Caenorhabditis elegans: one gene and its partner. The protein of the gene in region 1 interacts with the protein of each later gene in a pairwise test. Each region holds a gene or a part of one and is shown on either strand. Other genes may lie near its edges.

Region 1 (4,885 bases):
CTGAAATATTTATATTAAAACTTGTTATATTAATGTTCGTTACCATTATCAAGTTTCTCCTTGACCTCCTCATAAAGCCGTTGTGTAAGCTGTGCCAAACGAACCCGCACGCTTTCTTGGAACGCTTTTTTATCTTTCTCGTACTTGCGCAGTTTGTTCATATGAGCATCGGTTCGTATCCAGCGATAACTATGGTGCATAGTCGTTATCGGCCTACTTCCAATTTTTCCGCTACGGTAGAAGGTGATCGCTTTATCCAACTTTTCCCTTGATACAGCTTTCTCACCGAACAATACATCATCTTGATCCGGCAACACACAGTCATACGGCTGAAAGGTTTTTTAAATGACAATTAATAGTGTCGAAACCAACATACCTCAAAAACTTCTGGCTCCCAATCGCCATATTCTTCTTGAACCAAATATTCGGATTCTTCCACACTGGTATCTCCATAATAAGATTCCTTTATAATGCTTGCCAAATGATCTGCCACCTTCTGCTCATGTCTCGAAATCGAGGGATTTGATGGGAGGGGATTGGGAAAATGACGATGCAAGGCAAACATCACGTTTCCGATATCAAAAGACATTGAATAAAAGAAAACCAATAGAATGTAAACTATTAAAGGGACAATTTCAGTGAAATTTATCAAAATACGAAAATAATAAAATTAAAAATTAGCGCCAGCTAACTATTTAGCAGAGCAAATACGTTTTGACCCAATATAAAAACAATAATATGAAAAAAAAAAATTAAAATAAAGTTTTACCAAATCGATATTGGCAAAACATCTTGTTTTTGAGGCTCCATATCTCTGCAGGAAAAAATCGCACTAAAAAGTGATTAACTGAAAACTTGTTAAACACAATGTAATCTAAAACTTTTCAGTTGAACACTTTTTTGTAAAAAATTTCGTTGCCAAGATATAGATCTTTAACTATTTAGAATATTCAAAAATAATGAAGCTCAAATCAATTGGTTCCAACTCGGCAACGAAATTTTTTACAAAAAAGTGTTCAACTGAAATGTTTTAGATCACATTGTGTTTAACAAGTTTCTAGTTGATCACTTTTTAGTGCGATTTTTTCCTGCAGAGATATGGAGCCTCAAAAACAAGATGTTTTGCCAATATCGATTTGGTAAAACGTCTTGATAAGGCATCAGAATCAATGATTCGGTCATTGAAAATAATGAAAAATAGGTTATTTGTGACACTCTAAAATATTTCATGCATTTTTAAAAAAATTTCAAAAAAAAATTTTTCGATCAAATTTTCTCATGGGTTTGGTGGAGAAAAAAGTGACAATTTTCGAAAAAAATTAAAATTTCTGAAAAGTTTCCAGGGTAATTATGGTTCAATTAAAAAGCAAAAAAATTATGTAAAACCCTCAAAAAAATGTTCTAAATACTTGTTTCCCGTTCTGAAAATTTTGTATAAAAAAGGCCAAAAGTTAAACCATGTATGGGAACCGAACACACAAACTTCTGCTCAAGAGGCGAACGCGTTCACCACTCGACCACCGAACCGATGTTTTCGCCCTTCCACCATTGTGGTGAGACTTCTGTTGGCGCCAGAGACAAAAATCCACTGTTAACCATAGGAAATGCACTGATTTCAGTGTAGAATTTCAGACGTAAAAATTTCAGATTTCCAGCTCGAACGGGCAAAAATTTCAGTCATATTCTTATAGTAGAGAATGTCAGCTTTCCGATACAATATTTTTTTTTTGAATATCGCTCCATTTATTCTGGTCATTCCCTAGTAAGGTATTAGTACGTAAGCACTAAGTTTTATAAAAGTTTCTCATGGTTAGACGGCAGAAACTCTTAGGGCCTGTTAACACAGCCTACCTAAAGAACCTTATACTTTTGAGGACCAGGGACGGTCCTGAAAGAAAGGGGGGAGGTGTAAGAGTTTCCGCGTCTCCCCATGCTCGGTACAATTCCCCACATTTATTATTGTCTTACAGGTCCAGCAAGTGCTGCCGTAGCGGGTAACATCACGGTTATCCGGCCAGAACCGCTGCCAAAGACAACGACTAGACTTGCCAACGTTCATCAATGCACGCTGCAAGTGCGCTCCACCGGACGGCGCGCGGATCTGAATTGCCGGCGCCAACTCTAATTGTCATCGTTCTCGAATGTTCTCTCCCCCTCCCTTTTCCCCTATAAAAGGAGCGGTTTCGCTCATTCGAGGCCTTTTTCCTTTACTTTTAACCCGTTGTCACGTGTTCGCTGTTTGCCCCCAACAAACTGCTTTTCTGTAAATTACTTTATTAACTAATAAACCTGCTCATGACAAGCCATTCTTACTATATCTCCGCTCTTCTTCTCCTCTTACAAACCTGCACTACAGAGCTTGTCTTTTCTCGTGAGAGATAACTAAAAAATATATGATAATCTCTCGATGTCTTTCTTTATTATCACTAACCTGAAAACTACATTTGGAGGGAGCTCACATCTTTCGCCTCCTGTTTTCTTATTGTCTCTTTCATCGTGAAAACCACAGATATATCTGAAAACTTATCTCATAGTAATAAACTCTCATTTCCCTATACTATTTTTACGAAGCTTCGATGAGGACTACATTTGGAAGAGTGAACTCATCGTCTCGTCGAACCCCACACTATTTCCGATAGTGTTTTGATCTCTGGCACTATTAACTCTTGACATACAGAAAACTATCGTATTACCTGAATCTCTCCAATATTTCCAAAAATCTCACATTATCGTTTCTTGATTGATAATAAAAAGAGATGCTATGACAATCAAGAATAAATTAATTCAAAGAAGGGTGGTGGAATTTGAAATTTCAATGCCTCGAACAACCAGACTATCTTGTTCATGCACCAATTTGTTACAAAACTCATGAAATTATGAAATATGGATGATTAAAATTTTTGTGATAAGTAATCACTACGGGAAGAGGCGCGGTTTCTACAAACACATATAAATAGAAGCTGATAAGATGAGTTTCTCCGCTGAGGAAGGTTCAAAATTATGCTTCGCTTATTTATCATTGTCTGTCTAGTGTGCTCTGTCGCGCCGGACTGTGTTCCGGGAGATGTTGGATTTGGAGATTCGTAAGTGAAAAGAGTTTTGTGGGACAGAAAACTGAATTGGAGAGTTCCAGCTGCTACTCGTTCAACCGTGTTCATGGAAAGTTCAAGGATGCCAACGATTTGTGTGTAAAGATGTTTGGAGGGAGTCTGGTAAAAATCACGAATATTATCGATAACAATTGGATGCAAAGTGAGATTTGTAAATTAGACGGGAACTACATGGTCTAATGGCGGGTGAAGCTAGCTAGGAATGGTATAGACAGACATATTCTAGCTCCAGCAACTTAATCAAGATAGATTAACATCGCATGCAAAATCTATCATGAAGAAAATCGAAACATTTTAACTTCCAAGCGTAGAAAATGTAAAAATAGCTAGATATTTTCTTTGAACGAGCTTTGCTAACTGATTCTTACCGCTTTCTATCACTAATGCCATGTCCACAGTTAGCATCGAAATTTGACAGAAGTCTGACTATAGTTTGCCCGATCCTTGGCTACCAATGAGTACCTCCTTCTTCATAAAAATGTTTAACATTTTTCCAGAACTGGCGGTAAACCACCTCGACGCCGACTACAACTCTTTTTGGATCGGAGCCAGCGACGCTGCCCACTACACCAATTGGACTTGGATTGACGGGAGCCCAATGCGATTCTCCAATTGGGGACCAGGACAGCCACTTGAAGATCGGCACTGCGGAACTATGCTCATTTCGACTGGAAAGTGGTTTTCCCAAGTGTGCGATGAAAGGATCCAGTTTCTGTGCCAGTATCCCAATGGGGCATACTCTCCAACATGCCCTCCGTGCCTAGAGATTTGATGATTTAAGTTTTTTTTATTACAACAAAGTACCTCTCATGTTAATAAATTACCTCACATTGTTTAATGGAAACAACATTCGAAAAAAAAACATTTTAGATTGTTATTTGATTTGGTTTAAAGTTTTCAGATTTTACATTTTCTCTAAAGCGTAGGCACATGTTTAGAAATAAGATTACAACGTTGAACTAGGATAAGGCTTATGCTTGTGGGCTATGCTCAGGCCTCTCACCTTGTTTCACTTAAGGCAGGCATATGATTGAGCTAGGCTAGTGTAACGGCGTAAGCTCAAGTTTCATCTTTAGGCTTAGGCTTAGACCTAAATTTAATCTCAGCTTTCTACCTCAGTTTTCTTAAAAGTTCCAGGAACAAACTTGCCCTTCCGCTTTAGAAGTCTCTTTTCACGTGGTGCCAGGATGTCCCATTACGGTTTGATCTACAAAAAATGCGTGATTTTTTTCTCAAAAAATGTGACGTCAACACGTGCTTAACCATGCGAAATCAGTTGAAAAGCATGCGTCTCAACTCCCGCATTTTTGTGGATCTACGTAGATCAAACCGAAATGAGACACTCTGACACCACGTGTCTTTTCAATATGCCTGTATCATATTATAACAACAATGACAAATTTATTGTGTACTATCAACTATTATTACTGATCGTTGTTGTCATAAATGCTTCGGAACCGCTCCCTATCGAAAATTTCTCCGCAAAGCTCGCTGTGCTCGTGTGACGTCCAAAGTGTGATCACCAATACTTTTGTCTCATCTTCCATGTCGAACGCTTGGCGGTGTGAAACATAATGGTGTTGACTGAAATTGCAATTTCAATAAAATTGGCCTCTAGGTTAATATGTTAATGTGCTTACTCATAACGATGAGGATGATGGACAGCCGGAACATCGAATTCCTTGAGAAAATCTTGAATTTTCCATTCTTGGCCGGTGGAGATTTTGAAGAACGATCCGAGGGGCAAGTTGGATCTTGCACGGAAGCTCTGGAAG
Region 2 (3,928 bases), on another chromosome or scaffold:
ACAGTTCTTGTTGATGACGTGCTGGCATGATCTTTGCGAGATCTCTCGCTCTTCAGACATCCACGACTTGAAGAGGAACCGTCAGTTTCAGCCCCGGTTTTGTCTGAAAAAAATAAATTATTGATTTTTATTCAATCTGAATGAAAAATTCGAATTCTTACCATCATTATCCAGTGAAACATCAGATTCGTCAGAAGTGTTATCGAAGAGTCGTCGCGCAGGAGCATCTGGCACATTAACGCCATTATTTGCTGGGTTTCCAAAATTTGAAGATGATGGAATGTCTTTGTTCTGTTCTTCCGATTGAGACATGTTGTAGAATGGTGGAAGACGAAGAAGATGATAAGAGTGACAGTTTAATTACTGAAAATGTGCGAAATTTTATATAGTTTTATTTATTTAGGAAACAGATAGTGAAAGTTTGGGAGGAGTTGAACAGTATAAAATAAGAATGACAGGCAGAATGGCTGGGTAAATATTATTCAAATACAAGTATTTTCAAAATTCCGCAAATTTGAACAAGTTTTCATTTAAAAAACACATTTCGAACGGAAAATTTGGGTAAAAGAAAGCTTGGAACATAGTGAAAAAGGACTTTGCGAACAAATAAATTAAAATTTGCTTGATTTCAATTTGTTTTTTTCATTTTTTACAGAAACAACAAATTTCACAGCAGCGTTCTCCTGACTATCACACTTTTTTTTTGAAACAAAAACGAATAAAACAAGCTTGAAATAAAACTTTTGGTACCCAGACGTCTCTGGCCCCAAAAAATTTAAGTTGACGGGTGTCGACAGAGGGAAATGAGTGGCTTTTGGAAGGAGACCTGGGGCCACCAGTCAGCTTCTCGCTTCTTTTTTTTTCTCTAGCACTCTCTCAACTTTACAATACACTCTACGCGCTGCTGCAACTTTTCTGTCAAGTTGTCTGCCGTCTCTTCAGTTGAACTTGGTTTACTTTCGTGGCGAGACACATCAAAGTGACGGCCGACATGTGCCTTTGAGGCTGATGAAATTATTCCCGCAATTTCCAGAAATTTTTGCACTGATTCTGAAATAAAATGACGTTGCAATCTTTAATTTTACTCTTCGTTGTTCAAAAACTTTTCAATTTTATTCTCGTTACAATATTTCACTCTTCATTGACCAAATTTCGCAAATAGAGCGCTTAAATTCAGATTTTAAGTTAAGCATTTAAAATTAATACTCTTTTTTTTTAATAATAATAATAATTTATTACGCTCGCTGGGAGACGTGAAGGAATATAGAATACAAAAGTTATCATTGTTCGCTCGAACTAGAATTGGTGCAGTCGGGCAATCGTTTCCATTCCATTAGAATGTTGTCCTTGTCCTTGCGTTGTCCTTGCGTAGACTCCCCCATAGTGGGCGAGCGATTCCCGAGTGAAAATAATCACGGAATGCCATTTTTAAGCGATGCCATTTTCTATTTCTTGAACTATATATTTTTAAGAATATTTTAATCTGCGCTTTATCATGGATTTTCAATTCAACTTTATATTACTTTTCTAACTTCAATATAAAATTATTTAATAAATATATTTTTATTTTTAAGAAAATGTCCGAGGAGATCAAGCCTTCTGCTCCAGATGCGCCGACTGCTTCGCCAATTGTGACCAGAGACGAGCAAAATTTGGTTGTCTCATTCCTTCAGTTTATCCGCCAGAAGGTTTCACAAAATCAGGCCACTGCCGAGCAAGCGGAAGCTCTTGAAGGTTTTTTCCTATTTATTTCTATAAATTTAGCTTAAGATATATTAAAATTTCAGTTGCAATTCAATGTCTCGAACACTCGTTTGGTCTTGATGATGCCTCATACGCTTTCCAACCATCACGCCCAATTCTCGAACTTTTCAAGAGCGCCGAAGGACTTCCAGAGGGAGAATCTGCTCTTCCAACACCGAGCGATAGTGATATTTCTCAAGCTAACAAGCTTAAAGAAGAAGGAAACGATTTAATGAAAGCCTCCCAATTTGAAGCTGCTGTTCAAAAGTACAATGCCGCCATCAAGCTCAACAGAGATCCAGTCTACTTCTGTAACCGCGCTGCTGCTTATTGCCGCCTGGAACAATATGATTTGGCCATCCAAGATTGTCGTACAGCTCTTGCCCTTGATCCATCTTACTCAAAAGCTTGGGGAAGAATGGGTCTTGCATATTCTTGCCAAAACAGATATGAGCATGCCGCTGAGGCATACAAGAAGGCTTTGGAGCTTGAACCAAATCAAGAGAGTTACAAGAATAATTTGAAAATTGCTGAAGACAAATTGAAGGAGCTGGAAAGCTCGCGACCGGCACCAGGTGCCAATCCATTGGCTGGGCTTTTGGGAGCCATGGGAGGAGGACCGGGAGGAATGCCGGCTATGCCAGGAATGCCAAACATGCAAAACCTTATGAACGAGCCAGGACTTATGCAAGCTGCTTCACAGATGATGAGCGATCCAGCACTTTCTGATATGGTAAGTATCAAATTTTCGGGAATAAAAGATTTAATTGAAATGGCAATGCACGTGGCCGTCAAAATTAATTGTTTTTCATTATTATTGCTTGTTTTTTGATGATGTATGCTCTAAAATATTGAATTTTTCAGTTCAACAACATGATGTCTGGAAATGGATCAATCGCTGATTTGATGGCTGCTGGCCAGCAAATGGCTGCTCGCATGCAAGAGACCAATCCAGAACTTATTGAAAATCTTCGACGCCAATTCGGCCCCGGAGCCGATGGAGGAGCACCACCACCAAACCCACCACAATAGATAATCTCTTCCGCCAATCTCCTTCCGCATCACGAATTTCCATTTCGTTATCTCTCTCTCTCTCTCTTTCCCCTTCTCTCGTCTTTACTTTCTGCTCTCATGTGATTTGAAAAAGCCGAAGTCGCTTATGGTTACTCGTTTTTTTTAGTTTCTCTCGCAGAATTTCCCCTTACAATGATGATGTTATAATCGCCCCCGATTCAAGCCTTATCGAAATATTGTTTTTAATTAGATGGTCATGTTTTAACTACCAACAAAAAATTGGGTCAATTTTCTTTTTTTTCACGAATAATAAATATTGTCGAAATATTCTTTCCATCACAGACACACTGGTTGCAAACGCGCTCCAACACGAAATTATCGATTTGCACCCAAACGAAAGATAGCGCGGGAGTACTCACATTTTCTTTATTTTTGATTTTTTTGTTGAAATATTTTAGTATTAAATTAAACAATTTAAATTGTAAAAAACCTCAAATTTGAAAATAAATTCAGAATGCAACGCCACGAAAGGATTCGATTTTTCATAACTGAACAATGTCGTAATCTGGATCCAACGTATAGAAATTATGTAGGAATTTAATTTTCTGTCAATCTAAATTCTTTTAAAAGTTATTTTCAGATGTACCCGAAACAAATTCTTCTCGGTGACGTTCCTCTACCACTTCTCCCTAATTCTTCACTGACGTTTCGAGTCAATTCAGCTGTAAGTAGAAAATTTATTGCGTGACGAGCATTATTGTGTTTTAAAAACTCTAAAAATGATCAAATAAATTTAATTTTTTTTAGGAAAAAATCTGCTTCCGTATTCGACTTTCGATTGATGACAGCCAGGAACCATTGAATATTGGAATTCCATTATCACAAGTTGAAAGTGTTTCAATTAAAGATCATAGTGCGAAACATCCAGAACCTGCTCTTCTTTTTTTACTTAAGAAAGGAGCTTTAGAGAGATTTATTCAGGTACACTATAATTTTTTCGATTTTCGCACGACAAATTTTTGTAAAATGAAAGAAGGTGTGCGCCTTTGAAAAGAGTACTGTAATTTCAAATTCTCGTTTATGCAGAATTTTTATCGATTTCCATAGATTTTCACTAACAACTTGTGTTTGAAAAAACACATGAACTCGTCAATTCACTGCAAAAAAATTC

Evidence for each region. Proteins that work in one complex are often made in the same cells at the same time.
Region 2: the proteins of Y38H6C.8 (region 1) and sgt-1 interact in a two-hybrid assay, tested with the Caenorhabditis elegans proteins (2 studies listed by BioGRID).

The regions. Positions count from the first base shown.
Region 1 is NC_003283.11:20,511,766-20,516,650, forward strand, and holds Y38H6C.8 (C-type lectin domain-containing protein), read left to right. Parts: upstream 1-2,195; 5' UTR 2,196-3,000; coding exon 3,001-3,083; intron 3,084-3,133; coding exon 3,134-3,252; intron 3,253-3,607; coding exon 3,608-3,882; 3' UTR 3,883-3,967; downstream 3,968-4,885.
Region 2 is NC_003280.10:4,901,443-4,905,370, reverse strand, and holds sgt-1 (SGTA homodimerization domain-containing protein), read left to right. Parts: upstream 1-1,574; 5' UTR 1,575-1,577; coding exon 1,578-1,734; intron 1,735-1,787; coding exon 1,788-2,476; intron 2,477-2,607; coding exon 2,608-2,775; 3' UTR 2,776-3,083; downstream 3,084-3,928. Other genes in the region: btbd-10 (BTB domain-containing protein), read right to left, coding at 1-103, 162-312; R05F9.9 (MSP domain-containing protein), read left to right, coding at 3,272-3,346, 3,398-3,481, 3,565-3,738.